2 linked regions of the Bombyx mori genome follow. The protein of the gene in region 1 interacts with the protein of each later gene in a pairwise test. Links are inferred from orthologs where the notes say so. Each region holds a gene or a part of one and is shown in the gene's direction. Other genes may lie near its edges.

The links.
Region 2: the proteins of cysteine protease ATG4B (region 1) and Atg8 interact in binary tests that used the Caenorhabditis elegans proteins (3 or more experiments, as listed by UniProt). The link is inferred for Bombyx mori from reciprocal best matches to the Caenorhabditis elegans genes atg-4.1 and lgg-1.

Annotation. Positions count from the first base shown.
Region 1 is NC_085110.1:6,050,440-6,062,893, forward strand, and holds the end of cysteine protease ATG4B, read left to right. Parts: intron 1-181; coding exon 182-377; intron 378-590; coding exon 591-737; intron 738-971; coding exon 972-1,051; intron 1,052-1,555; coding exon 1,556-1,701; intron 1,702-2,812; coding exon 2,813-2,947; intron 2,948-3,817; coding exon 3,818-3,916; intron 3,917-4,856; coding exon 4,857-5,022; intron 5,023-5,298; coding exon 5,299-5,357; 3' UTR 5,358-6,953; downstream 6,954-12,454. Other genes in the region: protein phosphatase 1L, read right to left, coding at 9,271-9,654, 9,760-10,758. UniProt on the Caenorhabditis elegans protein: Cysteine protease required for autophagy. Cleaves the C-terminal amino acid of ATG8 family proteins lgg-1, to reveal a C-terminal glycine.
Region 2 is NC_085117.1:12,315,895-12,328,206, reverse strand, and holds Atg8 (autophagy related protein Atg8), read left to right. Parts: upstream 1-6,754; 5' UTR 6,755-6,851; coding exon 6,852-7,205; 3' UTR 7,206-7,459; downstream 7,460-12,312. Other genes in the region: nucleoprotein TPR, read right to left, coding at 9,687-9,769, 10,230-10,341. UniProt on the Caenorhabditis elegans protein: Ubiquitin-like modifier involved in the formation of autophagosomal vacuoles (autophagosomes). When lipidated mediates tethering between adjacent membranes and stimulates membrane fusion during autophagy. Recruits lipidated-lgg-2 to maturing autophagosomes.

The DNA of each region.
Region 1 (12,454 bases):
ATCTTTATATCTGTCTGTAATAAAATATATTTTTTTATTAGATTAAATATAACATTAATAAAATTACTTTTTTCTTGGACATCCTCGTCAGCAACATTGCACTCCCTTTTGTCCTTCAATACTACATTTTTCCACATTTAATTAGATTAAATAAAATTAAACAGAAAATAAATGTTCACAGATTTGGATCGTATTAGAAGAGATATCACATCAATAATATGGTGTACGTACAGAAAAGGCTTTGTACCAATTGGTGATGAAGGTTTGACTTCTGATAAAGGATGGGGCTGTATGTTACGATGTGGACAGATGGTATTAGGTGTTGCTCTTGTCAGAGTACACTTATCTGTTGACTGGGTATGGTCACCAGAAACAAGGTAATTGTATTTAAATGATTGCAAAATAGTTAATTTTCATAATACTTCTTTATCAATTAGTATCTTGTTGAATTCTTGCAATTTCTTTTAATAAATGGAGTTAATTTTTCTAATGTTGTGTACCTTTATGTAGCTAATGGTGAAAGGTCTCTATTTCACTTTATATTATTATTGAATAAATTATAAAAAATGTGAAGATATAAAATTTTACAGGGATCCAACTTATTTAAAGATCATACAAAGGTTTGAAGAAAGGAAACAAGCACCTTATTCTATCCATCAAGTGGCATTGATGGGTGCCTCTGAAGGAAAAGAAGTTGGCCAGTGGTTTGGACCTAATACAATCGCTCAAGTTTTAAAGTGAGTATAGTATTCCAAAATTAAAGGTGAGATATGAAAAATCTCGAATTCTTTAGGTGTGAAAGGTTAAGAGGTGATATAAAGGAAATTTAGCACTGAATTGTTTTTTCCCAATACTTTGTTTGCTCTGTGTTTATGGAATATATTTGTAAATATAAAAAAAAATACTAATGAAGTACAACAATAAAATTAATTTTTATCAAATACATTACACATTAATTGGTATGTTTTCAGAAAACTGACTGTGTATGACAAGTGGAGTTCATTAGCAATTCATGTTGCTTTAGATAATACTGTTGTCAAGGAAGATATCTGTAAGCATTATGGACAATTTGTTTATTTTCCAAATAATTTGTAGTTTAATTGTTAATTAATTAATTATATAGCTATCATAACTCTAGGATAGGAGATTTAGATGTATAACAATTACACTGAGTTTGAATTGATACAGTATTACTTTGTAGAGGAAATTTGACAGGATGGCCAAACTCACTCTTAAGAGCTGCAACTACTTGATAAAAGAATTAAGGTTTTCTGTTTGTTAAAAAAATATATATTTTATATTTTTTATTGTTGCTATTGATTAGTGTTATCAATAGTTTTATTTATTTATTTATTTAGTAGCAAGTTTTTTTACTTCAAAATGTGAATAACAAACGGGAAATGTAGTAAGTACATTAGAACTAGAATGTTGAGGTGTAAAAGATTTTAGCCAAATTTCCACAATTGGGCGAACACTATTTGTCATTAATATCTTTTGATTTAAAATTGTATAATACCTACATTCTGTCTTTGTAATCTGTTCGTTTTTGTTACAGTGCAACAATGTTTAGTTAACAATGATAGAGGTGACACTTCTTCAGCGCCTGACGGTGTGGTGTCAGACTGGATGCCTCTATTGTTAATAGTTCCACTGCGGCTCGGACTTAGCGAAATTAATCCTGTCTACGTAAATGGATTAAAGGTGTGGTTTTCAGAGCACTATTCCTTACTACTAATACTAGTGGTAGGACGTCTTGTGAATCCACACGGGTAGGTATCACCACCCTTCCTATTTCTGCCGTGAAGCAGTAATGCGTTCAGTTTGAAGGGTGGGGCAGCTGTTGTACTGTTAAAACTGAGACCTTAGAACTCACGTCTCAAGGTGGGTGGAGACGTTTATGTTGTAGATGTTGGCGTCCAAAATGCTGGGAGTCCTCAACAGAGCGAAGCGGTACTTCACGCCTGGACAAAGACTTTTGCTTTATAAAGCACAAGTCCGGCCTCGCGTGGAGTACTGCTCCCATCTCTGGGCCGGGGCTCCCAAATACCAGCTTCTTCCATTTGACTCCATACAGAGGAGGGCCGTTCGGATTGTCGATAATCCCATTCTCTCGGATCGTTTGGAGCCTCTGGGTCTGCGGAGGGACTTCGGTTCCCTCTGTATTTTGTACCGTATGTTCCATGGGGAGTGCTCTGAGGAATTGTTCGAGATGATACCAGCATCTCGTTTTTACCATCGCACCGCCCGCCACCGGAGTAGAGTTCATCCATACTACCTGGAGCCACTGCGGTCATCCACAGTGCGTTTCCAGAGATCTTTTTTGCCACGTACCATCCGGCTATGGAATGAGCTCCCCTCCACGGTGTTTCCCGAGCGCTATGACATGTCCTTCTTCAAACGAGGCTTATGGAGAGTATTAAGCGGTAGGCAGCGGCTTGGCTCTGCCCCTGGCATTGCTGAAGTCCATGGGCGACGGTAACCACTCACCATCAGGTGGGCCGCATGCCCGTCTGCCTACAAAGGCAATAAAAAAAAAAAAAAAAAAAAAAAAAAAAAAAAAAAAAAAAAAAAAAAAAAAAAAAGATGTCTATGAATTCCGGTAACCATTTAACCGGGACTTTTTCACTTAACTAAATCTTTTTTCTAAATTAAAAAAAAAAACTTTTGAGTAGTAAAAACAAATTTACATTTGCATTAGAAAGTGTACTCATTTAAATTTTATTATTATATCACATGTAACATATATTTATAACAGTAAAAAAATCAGGAAATGTTCTTATAAAGATTAAAATAAATGCATATCTTTCCCTAGATGTGCTTTCAATGTCCGCAATCGATTGGAGTCATAGGAGGCAAACCAAATCAAGCTCTGTACCTGATTGGTTGTGTTGAAGATGAAGTTATTTATTTAGATCCCCATACAACTCAACGGTCTGGATTAGTTGAGGTAATGACTTAATAATCATTCATACAAATTTACACTTGTTCTTTGTTATCCCATCCTCAGATATATTTTTTAAATAAACTACTAGAAATGTATTACTTGCCTTTACTTCATCATCATTATCCTGCCCTTCTCCCAGTCACCTAGGGTCGGCGCAACATGTTTGCTCCTTCCATACTCTTCTATCATATACCATTTTTTCGCTCACTCCCCTCCTACCCATATCGTCTTTCACACAATCCATCCATTTCTTCTTAGGTCTACCTCTTCCTCTAAATCCTTCCACATTCATAGTCAACACTCTCTTAACAACCTCATTTTCATTTCGTCTCATCACATGTCCATACCATCCCAAACGCGCACTCCTCAGCTTCTCTGTCACAGGTGCCACTTTCAGACTTCCTCTAACGTACTTTGCTTTTACTTGTGTATGTAAATTTTGATTGGCTATCAATCATGAGCCCTCATGAACACATGTCTCTTAGCTTTCATCAAAACTGAGATTAGCAGCCAAAGCTCAGACATTCGCATGAGTGGCAACCTATGTATGCAGTCCCACTTTCCAGATTATAAATTACTTATATACTTAATTTAATGTACTGAAACATGTTTTCGTAGTAAAGAAATGTATTTTCTTTATTGGATAAGCCCATCTGGTGCTATTTGTATTTTTGTGCCTATAGACATCACAACGTGAATGTCACCAACCCCCCTATAACATGTGGTCGAGGTCTCAATGTGGCGCCATCTAAGCGAGTTTCAGATTCCCTGCCTGAGTGAAGTCTGTTGGCCGTGTCCGATGACCACCAGTTTAAAAAGATTTTACCGTTAATTATTTTAAGTACATAGATAAAAAATATTTAATCTTTTTAGAGTAAGATTACTGACGATCAAAAGGAAATGGACTGTACATATCATTGTAAATATGCATCTCGAATACCTATCCTCTCCATGGATCCTTCAGTGGCGGTGGTAAGTGATAATTTTTTTAAATACCAATTCGACTAGTACCAAATTAAGCTATTGATTGCGTTGCAACGTAGGGTTACATTACATTAACTAACAGGAGAATATCGGGCTATCATAATTTGAATGCGCCACTTGAGAAGGCGGCACGACATGAGAACCCTCTTGTCGTGGCCGCTGGAAACTACATACCCGATCCTGTAAACCGAATGGTAAACCGTCGACGTCGCCCAAAGCACGTCATTACGGATCCTCCTGATTAATTAACGGTGCTTTTAGGCACCACAAGCACCGGTTACCGTCCGCGTCGAACCCGTCGCGACGAAAGACTCGACGAGCGAATTAATCCATAGACACAGCCCACTGAGTTTCTCGCCGGATCTTCGCAGTGGGTCGCGTTTCCGATCCGGTGGTAGATTCTGTGAAGCACTCTTGCTAGGGTCAGTGTTAGCATCACTCCGGTTTGAGCCCCGTGAGCTCACCTACTAGTTAAGTTTACGCTGATATATAGCTTCTCAAGGCTATCAGCTTAGGTAGGAAAAAAAAAATTGAAGTGTACTTTCCCTGGTGGTTAAGAGGTACTTGTACCTATGGCGATGTTCAGATTTCGGGCCGGTTATTCGAAACAAGACAGCGGTTTAGCTGTGCCCCTGGCTTTCCTGATATCCATGAGCGACGGTAACCGCTCACCATTAAGTAGTCTGCATGATCGTTTGCCCTAATGGACATTAAAAAAAATGTACATACAAGATAATAATATATCGTTTCCTGTTTGATAATGTCATTGCAGTACAACTGAGACATGCGTCAGAACGACGGCATTACTGTTGTGTATGATTTCCAATTAAAGCAATTAAAAGAAAATAAGTTTAAGTATGTTCTATCAACTTACCAAGCTAACACTACAATAAATAATTAAAGTTTTTTTTTCGATGTATTTTTTTAGTGTTTCCTTTGTCGTACTAGAGGTGATTTTTATGAGCTGTGTGAAACTATAGAACAGGAGTTTATGAAAGAAAGCCAACCATTGTTCGAAATATGCGAGAAACGACCGTCGCATTGGGGACCGAACACAACCGACATTGACTTTCAAAGCACTTCACTCTTTACGGGTAAACTCGGATTTGTTCTTGTTTATTTATTCTTAAACCAGCGACCTGCCGTCGCTTCGCTTCGGAAACTGTAATTTATTATTGCTTTCTTCACTATTTAATGGATGTTATTATACATATAAACCTTCCTCTTCAATCACTCTTATCTATTAAAAAAACCGCATCAAAATTCGTTACGTAGTTTTAAAGATTTAAGCATACATAGGGACAGAGAAAGCGACTTTGTTTTATACTATGTAGTGATTGTTGTTGCTAAATTTGTACTTGTTGTTCCAGAGTTTGAAGACGTGGACAGACAGTTTGACGACTCGGATGAAGAATTCGAAATTCTTTGAAAAACGCAGATAATGTGGCCTTATTGTGTAATTTGAACATTACGAAAGAGTATTTACTAAGACAAAAGACATTTTTACGAACCTTGTCAGAGGTTCGCTTTTTTTTTTTGTAATCACTAAACTAACAATTCAACGAACTATAAGCAGATTATTTTTCTGATAAACGTGGTAGGCTCTTTCATTGAATAATCTTTTTGCTATTAATTGTCGGCTGATTATGTATAGAACCAAATCATCATTTGAGTCTTCTGATTTTAATTAACTCACATAACATCTGGTTTCGTGTAACTCCTAAACCAGAGGTGGGTTTTTTTATATATTTGTATTATTTATTATTAATAATTATTATTATTTACTTCTGCATAAATCTGTATTAAGAGTTAAATAATATGGCTGCTGTTTTGTTCCTATTCAGGACACGACGTCACCTTGAGCTTAAAATTGTTAGACCGAGGTCTTGTCCTGTTCGTCGGTAAGGAAAGAGATACAATTCTATAAACAAGGGTCATTTAAAATATGAAACTTGCATTGTTAAATTATATTGTCCTGGAACGGGTAGATACAATATTTGAAATGCTATATCATTTAAAATTTATTATAATTTATTTGTTGACAACTAATAGAAATTCTTATTAGTTTTATCTTTAGAGTTTACAACTCACACCAAATTTGGAGAATTTTTGGTTCAACCCGGTAATTCCTAAATCGAGTATAAAACATATTTTTTTTTGGAGGTTATGAAGAGTCTACTCCTATAACCTCTACGTATGATCTATCAGGGTAAATGCAAAAAGTTTGCAACTAATTACCCTGTAATTGTTATGCAATATCGAGACATGGTATTTATTATAGTTTATTCAGGCACTCTTACGTTTGTAATTGATACGGTTATTTAAACTATTAATTTGTTCATTGCAATTTTAATTCGCACTGTGTGTCGTTATTTCAATATTAACATAATGAGAATGCCAAAACTGTTGAGTGATTTAGCACGATGGATTTTTGATAGAATAATTGTAAACTTTGTAACGTTATTTTATATTTACGAAGACGACAGCACTATATTAAAGTAAGTACTAGAGTATATTATAAAATCGTAGTACGCGTATTTTCTTAGTGCCGAGTGCATAAGCTGTTGTTGGATAGTTTGCAGTGCCTTTAAACGCAACAGTGACTTGTAATTTAGATAAAATTATAACATTCCTAATTTCGGAATCGTAGTTATATTATGGTTTATTTTATTTTTTTAGGTATGTCTAGTCAATAATAAGCATCTGATATTATTATAACTCGGATCTTCTCTTTTATTTGTTACATACGTCGCTTTGCTGCATTGTGTCTCCCATGATTTGTAATTTTAGTTAATTATTAGATAAAAGAAATTGCCGTTCATTTTATTTAATTACATCTTACAATGTTTGTTTTACATATTTATGTGTCGCATTATTTTATTTCTAAAGTTTTACTCGGCAGTGTAAAAATGTAGATATTTAAATAATGGAGAAAATGAGTCAAATGTACTATAACATTTTTGTATAACTTAGATAACTGCCAAAGACCTGAATATTTTTGTATTAAAGGGAAATAATATTTTAACTGTGTTTTATTTACATGATACCTGTTAATGATTATTTATTTTGTAATAAAACAAGTCTAAAATTACCACATTCATTTATCGAAAATTATTTTCTTTTATTTGGTAGGTACGATTTTATTTGGTAGATACGAGGTAGACTGAATATGAGTTTCAAACAGGGACGAAAGAATTTAGTAGGTAATCAAAGATTTCATTATCATTAGGCATAGTATACTTGGAAATAACAATACTTGAATTTTTTTAAGGATAAATCTTCTTACTATGGTTAATGGTCTTTATAGATAAAACTGTGTTAAAAAATATATTTATGCGGGTACGCACATGGGTTTTTTTGCGCTCACCTAGTTTACCTACTAACCGATAGATCGCTTGCACACTTTCCATTTTCGTCAATTAGATACGGGAGTAAAAGCCTGTAATATTTAATTGCTAAGGATAAAATCTAGGTAAAAGTAAATTCATTCCCAACATACATATACATGATGATGGCGATAAGGCGTTGGGTATTAAAATTGTTTTTTGGTAAATATTGTCGAAAGGATTGAACTAATCCATAGTAAAACCCAGCGTAGATAAGTGGCAAGGTGCGGTACCTATGGCATGTATCTAGAGAAGTTTGATAAAATTTAACCAGTTCCATGTAGCGCGGTAAGATGATTACTTTATTAGATCAGAAAAAAAACTGGTTCTTTTTATGTACGTACTTTTTTAATCAAATATCCGCCAAAAGTTCGTTGTGTAAAATCTGTCCACGATTAAGCGATTCGGTAATGTTTTTGATAAGTCCACAATAGAAAATAAAATATTTATGAAAAACTAGTCACGGGGAACAAAATCCGCACCGCAGCCAACTAGTATTAATTTGCAGTCCATAAATTACATCTCATTACCGCGATAGAGGAATTAATATATTTTATGTATGATTCATGCCAAAGATAGAAAAGTCATAGATAACCTTTTGATCATGCAACACTTGAAGGTTTTCCAATGAGGTCAGCAATAATCAATACACAGTTTGCAGTACAAAAATAATTTTAGCAGTATACATTTTTTTATTTGACACCAATGAATTTCATAATCCTATTGAGATGACAACATAGATAAGTAATTTAAGATTTTATGGAAATCTTACTCACACTGTTTACTATTCCTATGGTATATTTGCATAAAGTTACGAACAACAAAAATAACAAAAAAAAAAAATGACTAGCACCACAGGCAACATAATAATTATGGGGGCATTGTTTTTACTTAGCCAAAATAATAACTACAGTTCAACAACATAACAACAGTGTTAGTAAAGAGCAAAAATAATTACCTATCTTAGCAAATTCAGACGATTATATAAATATTATATATTGTAAATAAAGTTGAATATTGTAGTTAATGTACTTTTCAGACAATCAAATGAAAAATATCATGGCTTTCATGAATATAAACGTCCAAAATATTTATTATATAAGAAATAAATTTAGGAAAAAGTGCATTTTTATAGCATTCTTTTATATCTATTGCAACATTCATTATCATACAACTGTTTTCATACTATATATTATTAACTACTTGTACACAAATATGACACCTGATAATGTGCATCAATTTATCTCTAATGTTGTTGAACAACTTTTTTTTCAGAATATCTTATCATCAATAACATCAAATAGATTTATGAAAATCTGCATACACTTCACAACCATCCATAAATTCAAATATTAAATTTCAAAAATATATAATTAGGTACATGCACATCCGACATTATAAAATATAAGTTACTCTGGTCTAAGTAACAAATTTACTTTTTAGTTAAAAACATTTTCTTTAAACTTTATTTTCAGAATAGTTGCTTTAGTAAAAATACATTTATCCTCCTTCAACTTCATAAAACATTAAATGTATATTATGCTTATTTTATTAATATGTTTCTTCACACAAAAGAAAATTTGCCACATTAATGTTTTTAATTTTGGGGTTTTTAGTCATTAATTACTTGTCCTCTGCATATTTATTTATTTACAATATATGTATATATAAAAACACTAGGGTAATCTTTTAGAAAATAGTATAAATTTTTTACTGGATGGAAAGATTCCAAATAAATACTTCTTCAAATGCACTATGTATTCATGGTAAGATACTGTATTAACTTTTCAGAAGGTATTCTTTATAAGTTATCATGGCTCTCAATTGCTGTAATTGTTCAAATTGCTCCAAGTATGAGACCTAATTGTTATCAGGCATAAAATTTCTAGAAAACTGTGAAAAATGTACCTTGAAATCTCTTACGAAGATCTAAACTAAGGAATAAAATTACAATTTCTACTGAACTCCTGCGATGGTTATATTGGTATTTAGGAAGTTTATGACCAAAACTGTAATATTATCGACTGATCCTCTATAATATGCTTGTAGTGTTAAACTTTTTGCCCCATAATCTGGTTCATCAAGTCTTTCTTTAATAAATTTCACAGCTTCTTCATTGGTAAACGTGTCCCAGAGACCATCAGAGGCTAAGACTAAGAACATAGGTTTATGATCATTTAAGTTAAAAGTAAGTATATCTGGATCTGCTATGACAAATTTCTTATCTTTGAGTGGGTAATCACCCATAGCTCTTGAAGTAGCTAAGATACCTGCAACTCTCCAAACTCCATTATAAGCAATGTAACCTCCTGCTGCCTCAATTCTTTTTTGTTCCCTTACCTGAAATTACAACATTACATTTAAATCTTAAATATTTGCTTTAATAACATTATTTATTGACTAATATTAACAGTTCTAAGTATGAGGGATAGCAATTACATTTACCTGTTGTGGTTTATGGTCAAACGAGACAGGAATAGCATTGCCTCTCGAGTCACACATGACTCCCCTGGAGTCACCAACATTGGCCACTATCAGATGATTATTTTCCATTATTGCAATAAGGGCTGTAGTGCCGGCAACATTCAAAGACTTCTTTGCAGCTTCTACTAGTAATCTATCTGCTGCTAAAACTTCATCAGTCAATAATTTTCCATAATTAATTTTTCCTTTGTCAATATAACTAGATAATGGTATATTGATATTCTTAACTGGCTTAGTTGTGGTCCGCACTTCTCGGGTAATGATTGGCCTTGCTTTAGAAAGCTGGGCAAGCAATTCAGGATCTGTTATTTCTTTTTTTGATGTATCATCTGCAGTACTAACTGACTTTTTGAAGCTTGTTTTACGTTCAACATTTTCCTCTTTAGGTGCATACTCCTCAATAATTTCTCTAGATATATCAGATATTTTACCTTCTTTGAAAGCGTTAAGTTCAACAATTTTGTTGTAAAGATTCTGTATAAGATGGTCCTTGGCATAGTTAGCAGCAAACTCTCCGCCGTGTCCATCGAATATAGCGAATAGTGATATGCCTGTGTTGTTTACATTTTCGTTTATTATAAATCTATCTTCCATGTGCATTCTTCTACCTTTGATTGCGTAAGCAGCACTTAACGTGCCTTTCAGTTCCCAACTTTGCTTGTCTGCATCGGATCCCTCCATGAGTTTCATTCGTTGAACAGCGCTCATAGGATTCATCGCTTGCGACAGTCTGCTTAGCATTGTTCGACTCCATAATTCTATACTTTGAAGATACATTAAGAAGATCACAATAGCTAGTGTGATCACAACTACTTCAGATCGCAGAAAATAAAGACGCACCATTTTCCATAAATAGCTCACAGGAGCGTCAAGAAAAGTGCTACTGGTGAATCTAGACAATATTTTTACAAAAGAAACGTACGTTTGATGTAATACTCTGTCTTCTATCTCGTCTTCCATGTCCCCGTCAGAATTACTTATTTACACAGTAGAAGGCTTAATTAAACACGTTTATTACACTTGATCAGCAGTATTTTTTGTATACAATAAAAATACACCCAATCAAAATCAAATTCAATGTCTCGTTTTTTTTTATACAACTTCTTTACGGCCATTTGCTACTCAACATTTTAGCCTGTTTCAATTGTAAAGTGGCGGGAATTAACTTAGACTTCAAAGTATTTGTAAAAACACCAAGAACAACATAGCGTGTTTTTTCCGATTTCCTCACATTTTTCATTTTCTAAAGTATTTATTGGTTAATAGTCTACTATTATTATACATTTAAACTACACGAAACACTAAATGGAGACTATACTTTCCCGCTAAGTCTGTTGTCCAAAATTGTCCGATATTTATTATTGATCTGACTGTTCTTTTTTGTTTTCTATTGTTCTGAATTTTACTCTTTTAGCCGAAATTCTTATTTATATATTTTTTTTATTAGTGAGTGGGTATTATAAAATAAAGTTTATGTATTTCAAATTAAATATAATATAAAAATGTCCCTTTAAATACTAGGAATTTATTGTTACGTAAATTAATTTGTTGGAAGAGCCCGATAAACCGCCGCTAACGTGTTTGTGGCATTTTTCAGTTGTACACGTTAACAGATGCTAAAGTTCATTAGCTGTAATAATGTAATGTTTACCAGATTTAAATTTTTCTTAGATCTGATTTTTTTTTGTATATTGCAAATCGTTTCCCATTAATGCTAGTATTGCCAGTGCTGAATAGTACACTTGAGTTCTTTTTAAGAACATAGACGGACGGATGAACTCACATATATGTTACCTGGATCTTGGGCCAGTTACTTTAGAACTAAATCCTTCCAGGGGAAAAATTAAGACAGTAGCACCGACGCACACAACTGTTCTGACAGATATCAATACGCAATAGGCGGAAGACGCAGATGTTAGCACTCTCCCAGGCTGAGCACCATGGCTCGCTTAAAAGTTCGATGAAGCTCTAGCATAGCCCCGGAGGCAAAAAAGAGGAAAGAGCACAGGAAATTAATATCTGAGCACACTCAGCTTATTATAAAATTATCGACTATTTTGTCAAGCCAAGATCGATAATTAGAAGTTATAAATTCCCGAATTTTTGGGGAAAAATTCAATTACAATATGTATCAGTTATCTACATGTACTTACACATGCTATACTTTTTTGAATTGATTATTTAACCTTAACCTATTATTCAATTTTATGTTTCTCCTATTTATTTTGAGATATTAATTTTGTATTTAGTGTCGATGTTAGCTTAAATTGCCTCAGTTGGTTTCGGGACAAGAAAAAACACGTTTATTTTATAAAATGTATTAAAATGGTGAAATAGAGATTACATTAAAGTATTTATTTTTAGTATTAGGTATATATTTCTTACAGGGACTATGCAGTATTAATTTTAAAATTTCAAACCAACACTTTAAAATATTATAAATATTAACAGAAGCGATCAAATCGAGTATTATACTTGTTCATCATTGCCTGAAACGAAATCTGGAAGAGTCAAACCAACTTTTGTTAAATGTAAATTTAATCTATTTTGTGAACATACTTTCAAACGCATGATATACGTGTGTATCACAGTGATGATACAATACATTAAAAGTACTGCATGGGTCACAGAATATATTATTATAATAAAATTTTAA
Region 2 (12,312 bases), on another chromosome or scaffold:
TCACACAACTTCACTCCTCGCGTTCCCGCCAAAAAGTCCCTGAATAATATTCAAGTCTTTCAAGTCCCTGTGAATCATAGATTATCAAAATAAACCAATCACTGACTTTGGCGGGAACGCGAAGAGTGAAGTCGTGTCTATTATTTTAATGTATTTAATTCAGTGTTTATTATTTAAGTTTATATTTGTATTAATGATGGCTTATTAACGATTTGTGAAAGTGCACAAGTATGTGAAAATAAAGCTGAATAAGGTGGCGCCACCCTAACAGATAGTTTTTCGCCGAAAAAAATTCCTGTTTAAAACACAGACAACAAGCTCCTTACCGACTCTCCATAAACAAACGAAACCATTCTCGCCAAAAAGTCACATATTATTTCTTTTCGTCTCATTTCACTACATTTAATTTCATTCATTTTCACACTAATTGATTACTAATTCAGATAAATCAACTTCTGCAATTAAATGCCATAACGTCATGTAATGAAATGGACTTGATTTATTTATTTAATATGAAACGAAAGACTATTACGCGCCATTTCATTTTTTAAATTTTAAGGCCGCAATAAATTAAAATCTGGCGTTAAAAAACGTGAACTGGATTTCTTCAGTGATTCACTTCAATGAATTTCTCCACGTAACTGCTTCATCACCGATTCAAGTAATAATAAATAAATAATAACCGGGAACAAGTCACTCACAGTCATCCAGTTCGAAATTAGGATTCCATGTACTTACTATAGGAACCTAAGACTGCTATAGTTTAAACATATATAGACAATAACAACAACTCAGACAAAGAGCAAGCAAACTTGTTCATAATACGAATGTTTACCAAATATGGGAATCGAACACACGATCCTTGGCGCAACATTCGGAGGCGCCAAATACTGCACCACAGAATCAGTCAAATCTTTATTAAACTCACATATTATATCACCTGTTGGATTTAGCTATTAGTCTTCTTTTTTTAGATTAGATAGTGCTTTCACGGGTTTTTTTTTAATTAGACTAGTTGATACTTTAAGATAAGTAAGTTAGAGGGTTATGTAACACCGGTCACTCACATGCGCACGAATACGCAAACCCGCAAGTGTAGGACGACATTTGCAAATGATTATGCAAAGTTTTCGCTACATTCGTGGTTTTCCAAGTTATGTCGGTTTTTAACAGACATCAAAGCGCGCGAACCTCGAGCCTTCGCGTAGTCTCCCACACATTCGCTTGCCCAGTTGCACCGACGATTGCGAAGGTAACGGACGTATACTATACGCCATTTTCATAGTTCGTGACGTCTACTGTGTAGCGTATCTTCATCAAAAGAAATCCCATAAAAACAGCATGGCTGTTAATGATGTCTGGGAAAGAATTCAAAACTCTTTTTCTCTTCAATGTTCTATTGACGAATTAAAAAGGAGAAATTCGTGAGACATTCGTAAACAAGTGTGGGAGGAAGCGCAAACGGGTTCGCAAATTGAGTACCGAACCCATTTGCACAGCCGCTAGGTTTGCGAATTAATGTTTGACGGCCCTTCACATGCGCGCAAACATTCGTACAATGTACGAATATTTGCGCGCATGTCAGTGGCCGGCATAAGGAAATATGTAATTTGATATAGTTAAATTGAATAGAAAAAAGCCGATTCAATTGATTCTTGAAAAAAAGTCAAAAATTGTCATTCAATTCGATTTACAATGCCCCTTAATTAAAATTATTTATGATTTTTTTAAATTAAGTTGTACCAACAAAATGATCGCCAAATCAGAGCATCGACAATTTTTTTAAGAAGATCACGTAGATTAAGGGTAACAGTGATAGTTGAATAGTTGAGAACATTTTGAATTTATTTATAAACACGATTAATTGAATAATTGTAAAAAAATATAAAATTCAGAATGACACAATTGCACATAAGTACCGTACCTAACTTAATGAAACGAAACAATTAATTATGAAAAAAAAAACTTGAAGTGACTACGCTTGTAAGGATCATCAGGGTGGCGCACAGTGGGTCGATACTATGATTTTAGTGACTTAGGCACCAACTTTGTTTTTTTACATTTTTCTTTATGTAGATAGATAGAGCTCGTTAATCTAAATAATAGTTGTTTTAGGCAAAAATTACAAAAACTTTATAGTTTGGTCAGAAAAATGTGTTTTGTGATTTTTTTGTATGGAGCGGGTCACATTAAATTAAATTCCTGCTAAGTACCGCGAGGTCCCGCTTTGAAACTTTATTTTCCTTACATCTTGTCTAGTCTACTATCATTTGATGCTATGAACATGTGCATAAAGTTGCAACTCTGCCAAATAAATGGATCGAAAAAAATGAATAAATACATAGAATAAAAACCTTTATATTTTTTTTCGTAAGTGCTTTTAAGTTAAATTTGATATGGATTAGTAAGTAAAAGCACGTAATGATACCCATAATCACATAATACCTAACAACAATACATTTAGTAGGTCTCTAATTAAGCAATCTCTCTAATTATTAGGATAGTTAACATTATTTAATGAGGATAACTAGTTAAGCAGCCATTACTGGGCAGTAAAAAATATAGTAAATATTTGTTTGTCTCTGGAAGTATAAAGCGACCATGTTTATTATATACTAACTAGTGTTCATTTATTCGTACTACTACTAACATCTCGTGATTGTCGTTGTGATCTTCCTTTTTCCGTTATAATGAATAATTTTGTTAACAATTTAGAATTATTTATGATTTTAAGAGAGCAACTACAGTCGCTTTCTGATAATAAAAAACTCTTTCAATTCCTACAAAATCAAATAAACGTGACCGAAGAGAAAAGTATTGAGCTCCAAAAATTCTGGACGCACTTTTGTTCAAATATAAGTGCAATATGAAAACGAAGTAGTCGCATGTTAGCACAGTTTATAAGAAAAAAATGTGATTGGTTAGAAGGTGCAATAAACTGGCTCGAAGGAATGATACCTGAAGCTATCAACACTGCACAGGAAAGGCATGAGATTTCTAATACTGAAGATGTTGGAAATGTACCACCCTCAAATGTACTACAGAAGCCTCGACATCTACTTTTACACCTCGAAAACCTTTTGAAGAATTGGGATCCAGGCAAAAACGAAGACGCATTGAACAAATTTACCAATCGCTTTCGTTATCCCCGGATGAAATGAAAGCTACTACAATTGCTAGTTTGAGAAACACTGGAAATGAAGATATAGGAGAAATAATGAACCACTTGTCAAATCACCCCGAAGATTTAGAAAAAAGTTAAGGAGTGTTTAAGTACAAGTAAAGTGAAAAGTAGTACATATTCTCCCGATAAGGCACTATTAGTTTCACTTAAATTAAGTAAGTGGCAGTATATAAGCCTAAGAGAAGCAGCAAGTGAAAATGGGTTTGATTTATACCCTTCTTAATATAAAATTAAGCAAGAAAAGACCAAATGTTATCCAGGGAAAGACGAGGTAATTATTACTGAAGAAGGAGCTGCTATTAAAATGCAAGCATTACTAAGCTTGGCGCTATATAGGCTTTTAGATGTGATTACTTCGGATTTGGACTCAGCAAGAGAGCTATTGCTTATAAGCAAATAGGCTTTGATAGAACCCCAGGTCAAAGTAATTATAAACAGAAAACTGAAACAGAGTTTGATGATTCATCTATTTTCATGGTCAGTCTAGTTCCTATAAGGCTTCAGAAATTTGATGGAACAGTTGTTTGGGAAAACGATCTACCCTAATCAACTTTTTATCGCCATCCAATAATGTTTAAATTTACAAAAGAAACGCAGTCAACAGTGGCAATTATAAAAGCTAGCATAACAGAAGAAATAGAAAGACTTCAGCCATCAAAAATCAAACAAGTTGAAGTGAATCATCAATTACACTTAACGATGACAGACGGCAAAATAACCTCATATTTGTCAGAAACATTTTCTGCTGTCTGTGATATTTGCAAAGCAAAACTGTCAGGGCTCTTTGGAGACACTTGCTTGTCAAAGAGAAAATAATGAAGAAATATTCCAGTATGGAATGCCATCTTTACATGCCTGGATAAGATGCATGGAGTGCTTACTTCATATCGGTAAATATAATTTTATTACTTCATAATTTTTTCATCGTATGTAGTTTCCTGTGAGATTATTTTTTATATGACACTTTTTTGTTTGCCTCTTATCGTTTGGACTTCAAGAAATGGGGTTGCAAGGGGGGATGACAAAGAAAAAATATCAATCAGAAAGAGCGCTATACAGCAAGCGTTTAAAAAGGAATGCGGTTTACTTATAGATGTTGTCAAGCAAGAAGTAGGAACAACCAATGATGGCAATACTGCCAGAAGATTTTTTAGGGATGCAGAAGGAACAGCCCGCATAACAGGAATACGTAAAGATTGAATGGAGAGGTTTCACGTGATTCTTCAGACTGTTGCATCTGGACCTTTCCAATTTTTCCGAATTTTGTAGATATACTGCAGAATTGTATGTTAATTTATATCCCTGGTATTATATGCCTTTAAGTATCCATAAATTGATGGCTCATGGCGGTGATATACAATAATGAAGAACTTTGGTGCCATTCGAATAGGTAAGCTCTCGGAAGAGGCAGCGGAAGCTCTCAATAAAGATTTTCGAAATATACAGAGAGTTGTTCTTCTAGAAAAATAAGTAGAACGTCGACTAATGAGGATATTTTACACAATCTTCTTTTGTCTTCTGGCCCAAAGATCGAATGGTGAAACAAAATATATAAAACTTAGAGAGATTGCTTAATTAGAGACCTACTAAATGTATTGTTGTTAGGTATTATGTGATTATGGGTATCATTACGTGCTTTTACTTACTAATCCATATCAAATTTAACTTAAAAGCACTTACGAAAAAAAATATAAAGGTTTTTATTCTATGTATTTATTCATTTTTTTCGATCCATTTATTTGGCAGAGTTGCAACTTTATGCACATGTTCATAGCATCAAATGATAGTAGACTAGACAAGGTGTAAGGAAAATAAAGTTTCAAAGCGGGACCTCGCGGTACTTAGCAGGAATTTAATTTAATGTGACCCGCTCCATACAAAAAAATCACAAAACACATTTTTCTGACCAAACTATAAAGTTTTTGTAATTTTTGCCTAAAACAATTATTATTTAGATTAACGAGCTCTATCTATCTACATAAAGAAAAATGTAAAAAAACAAAGTTGGTGCCTAAGTCACTAAAATCATAGTATCGACCCACTGTGCGACGGGTAGAATCATAGATTATACACTTAATATATTTGGTAGAATCACAGAACACTGTTACTTCTAGCGAAGGGTAAAATACGAATGAAACAGATTTTTTTTTCCTGTCTAGCTAAGAGCCTTTAGAGGCTATTTCAGCGTAACCTTAACTAGTAGGTGAGCTCACGGGGCTCAAGCCTGACGACTTTGCTAACACGAACCCTAACAAGAGCCGTGCTTCGCAGAATCTACCACCGGATCGGAAACGCGACCCACTGAGAAGATCCGGCGAGAAACTTAGTGGGCTGTGTCTGAGGGTATTTATACAATTATCTTGACCTATTTTAATACAAACATAATAGGTAATATTAAACATTGTTTATCTTAATTATTCTGCTGATTATTGACGTACAATTGTTATTTAATAATATCGAATTATATAACATAAATAACATTAAAGTTTTATTGCGCCGAAAGCTGTCAAGCGGAAGGCGCCAATAAATATTTATCATAATATATGAATATGAATCAACTATTTACTTGATTATGAAATTACTAATCTTATACTAATATTATAAAGAGGAAAAACTGAACCGATTTGAAAAATTCTTTCACTGTTTGAAAGCTACGCTATTCCCGAGTGACATAGGTTATAATCTTTTTTGAAAAAAAATATGAATCCTTACCAAAACTCCAATAATGTAATCCAAAGTGTAAAAAAATTACCTAAAATATTCTTGACACCGTGTGCCCTGCGAAAACTATGATTGATGATAGAATAAAATAATGTACCACTAGTATCTATTGATGATAAAATAAAATAATGTACTACGACATTGTAGAACACATTATTATTTACAAAAAGTGTCGCGACAGCGTATGTCTAACTATTATAGTTATGCCGCAATAAGTGTTATTTTATTTAAAAAAAGAAAGCAACGTCAAATATCGTTGAAATTTTTGTTAAAGGACCGAGCGGAGCCGGAGCGGGCCGCTAGTTATAATAGAAGACTATAATAAGTTCTATATATTTCGGACTAGGTACCATCTTTTCGTAATTTGAACAATTTTCTACGTGATAAAAAGTTCTCTTCCCAGGAGGCAGTACAAATGCTTTTACACAGTTTGTAGAATCTAGATCACCAGAGCTTTATCGCAAAGCCATAAATGACCTTCCTATTAGATGGCAGCAATGTATAAATAATAACTGTAGATATATTGATTTAAATAAATAGGGTAAATGAAAAAAAAAAAAAATCAGTATAAATTGCCAATTTCTTACTTTAACCCATAATATTACACGAAAGACGCCGCAACGATATTTAGAGCATGAAGACAGTAAATTAGTAACATATCAGTTATTTATTTTTATAATTAAGTAGTACTTTTCAATTTAAATTATCAGACCCAATAGCACAGCACCGCGTTAACACAATAGCAGGGCGTATTTTCATTAAGCGGACAAGCTTATTTAGGTGGCTTAAAAGACCGTATGTCGAAAATTCAAGATAATTGGTTGTCATAACAGCTGATTGCGTCACTAGAGTCAAATAACGCAAAAATAAAAAACAAGGCGCAGTAGATTGAGAAGTTGATTACGATTCGATCATCTGAAATTGCAGTGTGTTATAAAATATCAACATGAAATTCCAATACAAAGAAGAACATTCATTTGAGAAGAGAAAGGCTGAGGGCGAAAAAATCCGCAGGAAATATCCAGATCGCGTTCCTGTAATTGTAGAGAAAGCGCCGAAGGCTAGGCTTGGAGACCTCGACAAAAAGAAGTATTTAGTTCCGTCTGATTTAACAGTTGGCCAGTTCTACTTCTTGATCCGGAAACGTATTCACCTGCGGCCTGAAGACGCACTTTTCTTCTTCGTGAACAATGTCATTCCACCCACATCTGCAACAATGGGGTCTCTCTACCAAGAACACCATGATGAAGATTTCTTTCTATACATAGCATTTTCCGACGAAAATGTCTATGGAAATTAATTCCAAATTATTCACTTTCAAATAGTTTTACACTATCTGACCATATGGTGAAATTTAATTTAAGTCTTAGATTAAAATTGTGTATTATTTTATGGTATTTTTTTATTATTAATTGGCATATAATACTATATTTGTCTTCATATGAATAGTATAAAACTTTTCAAGCAAGTAAAGGATTGCTTTGTTTTCACATCTTTGTTTTGGTTGAGTGTCATCACTGCTGTAATAAAAAATAAATAAAAGATAAAAGCAAATCTTGGTGATTTATTTAAACCTTTTACACTAAAATATAACTATGATATTTTCAAAACAATGATGAATGTTTTCTAATCACTTGAAACACCTAACACATTGTTTTTGTTACACACAAAAGCATTGTTATCTTAACTTGGAAAACACAATTTGACACAAATATTGTAATTTTTTTTTAAATCTCAAAGTAAACCATAAAATTATTTTACTTTGTTACTAATACTACCCCTAATAGTAATTTACAATACTATCAACGTCTATTAATCACAGTGGCTATAAACTAGTCATTGACAAAGGAAAGAACTGGTAAATTCCATAATAATTTTGCTATTATAAATGTTTTTGTTGTAAGTAGTTAAGATATCTATAATACATAAGTGACAACCAGTTCATGTTGGCACAACATGTATCTATGTTAGTAGTTAGACTTTTGGTAGACTATGTTTATATTTTTAAAAACAGCCTAGGTTCAACTTCCCATAGGAATGGTATACTAGATTTGCTTTCCAAATAAGAAATTAGTGGATGGTTAAGTACTATAATAAGATGAGGATATTACTACTCTAGATGACTGAAGTACTATTCCTAGCTCTATATTGGGTGCTCTAGGTCTTACCCAGCTTTTGATTAATAATTTGACAAATTGTAATGGGAGAATCAGAAAAAGTGTCGTCTTTCTAGTTTGGGGACCGATGGATGTCCTTCTTGTCTAAACTCATCATAGGCCTTATGCTTAAAAAAATATCAACTGTGGCTGTTCTTAGTGAACACTTAAGTTTTCCAGAGGGAACTGTTGTTCAGATAGTGCATTTGGTTCTAGGAACAGTTTGAAACACCAAGGTCTTTGGAAAGATTTGTAACGATTTTTACTGATAAACTTATGAAATGATCTCCCCACATTGTGAAATGGTAATTGAAGTTTATAGTGAATAGTAATGGTTTGGCTATATCTTTGTACTAGATAATAGCAATGATATAAGGTAAGCATTTTTCATCAGGTATGCGCCAGGTGTGGCCTCACTGGCAGTTCATCATAATCTTTATTCATTGACTTCTTTTATGAGAACGATCCATGTTTGATTTGCACCAGATGCGTGGAATACCATCCTTCTGGTTTTGGGTAAGTTGCTTTGCAACAGAGATAAAAAAGACTTACTAATTCGTGGCTTTATCTCTGCTACAATTAATTGATTTATATCATAACATTGTTTCCTTAATGAATTTCTGGGTCAAAATGATTTATATGCTTAATTCACTTATGGTTCGATCTGTGGTTACAATTTTATTTTATGCAGCTGGGAAATGGTTAAAATTAAAACATTTTATTTTCATCACATTTATTACTAAAGGAAATTACAATTAAATGGAAATATTTTATGGACACTTAGGTACTTCAACGTTTTTTTTGGACTAATTTGTAACAGCAATAAAATTACTAGCCCATCTAATATGAAACTTTTTAATTATTTTAAACAGTTTAATATGGAAATAGTCTAAGTAAATATTTATATATATATTACGGATAATAATAATTAATAACACTAACTGTTATAGCAAATAAACCATTTGTATTATACGTGGATGCTTCAGTTTTTGACACAAACGAGTTTGGGGTTTATTTGTACAGGTAATTGGCGAATATTTAGCATTAATACTCATTTTAAATTGGGCTTCAATCTCGTTGATGACATTAACTAAATAATAATCACTAAAGATATATCGCTCAAATAGTAATAGTCTACCTAAAATAGTTTAGTTGGTAAAGAAACAAACAAAATTATTTATGGGGCTTCTCATGCTATAAACCAATCTTTAAATTTTCTTTGCGCAGTGGATATCTGAACATAACATACAAATAAAACACTAGCCAAAAATTAGTTCTTCTATCATTTAGAAAATGAGTCTTACCTAAAAATATTAATTCTAACATAGGAAAATTAAATATTAATCAGATATCTGCTCGCCACCTGGAATTTCTCAATATTATCTAGTGAAAATAGCGATATAATATAAACATTTCTGCTGGAATTCTAAAAATGAAATCAATCTAAGTGTATATATAGCGTAGTAAGGCGTACAAAAATAAAAAAGAATGAAATTAAACACCGCAGTTACATTTCCGTATATTAAAAGTAATTCGAAATTTGTTATTGAATTTATATATCTGGAACCTACATCAAGATTTATGCTATAAAAATCGATATTGTTTTTAGCTTATTCTAGAATCGTTTAAAACCTCATGTAGTTGTGAGGTCTTCTTGACGGCCGTCCTCGTGATCGCATACCGCGTCCACGTGCGCCACTCTCGCTGTCTGCAAATAATGAAATATTTGAACAACTGCATGCGATCGAATTCCGTATTCATTGTTGTATTTCCGGGCACGTTATTTGTATTTCATGAATTTGTAGAAATTCGATACAATATTAATAAACAAAAAAATTCTAGTACTTCTGTGAAGAAGTACAAGTAGAGCCCCTCAGACACAGCCCACTGAGTTTCTCGCCAGATCTTCTCAGTGGGTCGCGTTTCCGATCCGGTGGTAGATTCTGCGAAGCACGGTTCTTGCTAGGGTTCGTGTTAGCAACGTCATCAGGTTTAAGCCCCGTGAGCTCAACTACTAGTTAAGGCTACGCTGATATAGCCTCTCAAGGCTCTCAGCTTAGGTAGAAAAAAAAAAAAGCAGCGACAGGGACAGTTTTCTTCGTCCGCACCAGCTGAAAGTACCGCGGCGGACCGAAGCCTGTTCTGTAATAAAGGTGTTAATAATATACCTGCAGCCCTCATCCATCGTTGATTATGGGAGTGAGGAGAGTGCGGAGACCGCGTGGGCGCGCGGCGTGCCGGTGCACTAGCCTCCGCCTCGCGACCTTCTTCTGCTATCTGCTGTAATTTAATAATAATCATAATGCTATCTGCTGTAATTTAATAATAATCATAATGCTAATTGCTTAAACTTTGTCATTATGTCACATTTTGTCTTTAGACATTTTGCGCATCAGGGACACAAGTAAGTTTTAGCGGTAGGCAGCGGCTTGGCTCTGTCCCTGGCATTGCTGAAGTCCATGGGCGACGGTAACCACTCACCATCAGGTGGGCCGTATGCTCGTCTGCCTACAAGGGCAATAAAAAAAAATAAAAAAAGAAGAACATTAAAAGCCTTGGTCATGTAACTGTGGTGTTCCAAAGTTAAGATAGATTTTAAAACAAATTAAATAAACGCGAGATTGAGCTATATAAATAAATATTATTGTGATCAAATCCTTTAATCTTCATTTTAGCTGTGAATTAAGTTTATTTGTTGGGAAATTAAAGCAAGTATCGCATATAAATGATTTGCCATTAGACTTATTAAAATCCTTTAAATTAAAAATTAAACAACGCATATAAATAAAAATGATGCCGAATGATCATTGTTCTATACTCTTCTTGTGTGTACATAAATAAATAAATAAAATTAAAAAAAATTAACATATTCACTTAAACTTTAGCCATATTGAAGTGTTTCGCCTTTTCTTTCTTCATCTTCGTGCATATTTTAGGCATTCTATTAATTTCTTAAAATATTCTTAATCAAACTTTTTCTACTTGCCCTCCAATAATTGCCACAAATGTGCTGAGTTTGTTGGTGATCAATTTTTTACCCTTCTGTCGAGTTCATCCTAAACTAATTCAATGGGAGAGGGGTCAGGTAATTGAGAAGGCCCTTGAATTTTTTATTTTATTTTTATTCTTGTTCAAAAAAAAAAGGAAAGTTGGACGAATACTTAGAATCATTATATTGTTGAAAAGTGAATTCAACACCAATTTGATCTGTTTTATCTGATTCTGGATCTGTTTTAAAATTTGGTTTGATCTGCATGTCTCTGTTCAGTACCGGGTATGATAATATTTGAAAAAAACAATCAAATGGGCTCCTTTATTTAATTTTCCGGTTATCCTCCCAAACTTCCAAGGTTATTTTTGCCAAAACAAGTCCAAATCATAACATTACCACAACCCGATTGGTCTCGAATTTTTTTTTCCTCGTTCTAAATTATATTTTTCCTCTGAACTATTTATTGTCCAGTTTATATGCTCTCTGCCTATTCTAGTTTATTCTTCTTATGTCGAATATTTAGCTTTAGTTTTTAGCTGCGATTATTAGATATAGCAGTGAAATGTGAATTCCGTTTTGAAAGATCTCTAATGAAGTTATTCTCTTGATTAGTTGTAGATTGGGGTCTACCAGATCTTTTTTATCTCCATTTTTCCCAGTTTTCTAGCAAGATGTAGTAGTGGATTCCTTAGTGGAGACCTTTCCGTCTTTGGGAGATTTGACATTCAAGGTATTTTTCCTCGTAGTGTACAAATAGCGCTTCGCAATTCTATTGTAATTTCCTTGCGTTTTTTCCATATAAAAATATTTATATTTTCTGTTACTACACAGTGGCGATTTATTTTTTGTATAGAAACAGGTGTGCTTCCAAAATTTTGGACGGTAGTGTACCAAGACAATCGCAATAGGGTAATTATTAAATTATGTTTGAACATAATTTATATTGCCTTGATAGTAGACCTACTAATTAATAGAAGCATATATTGATTAAATTAAATCTGGACGTTTAATTTTGAGTTATAAAGTTTACAAGCATGGGTTGCTGTCCCCTTCCAGGTAGCTCATAACTAATTGACTACGCACGTAAGATTTGACATCACTACGGTGTACTCTGTAGACCTTGTGACTAGAAATATAATAGGTTAAAAAGTATATAAACTAAATTAAACCCATTTTTATTTAAGCCAATTTTACACCCGTGAGGAAATGTCCAACTTTTCTCCCTTGGTGCACAATGTACTATTTATACGAATTCGTGT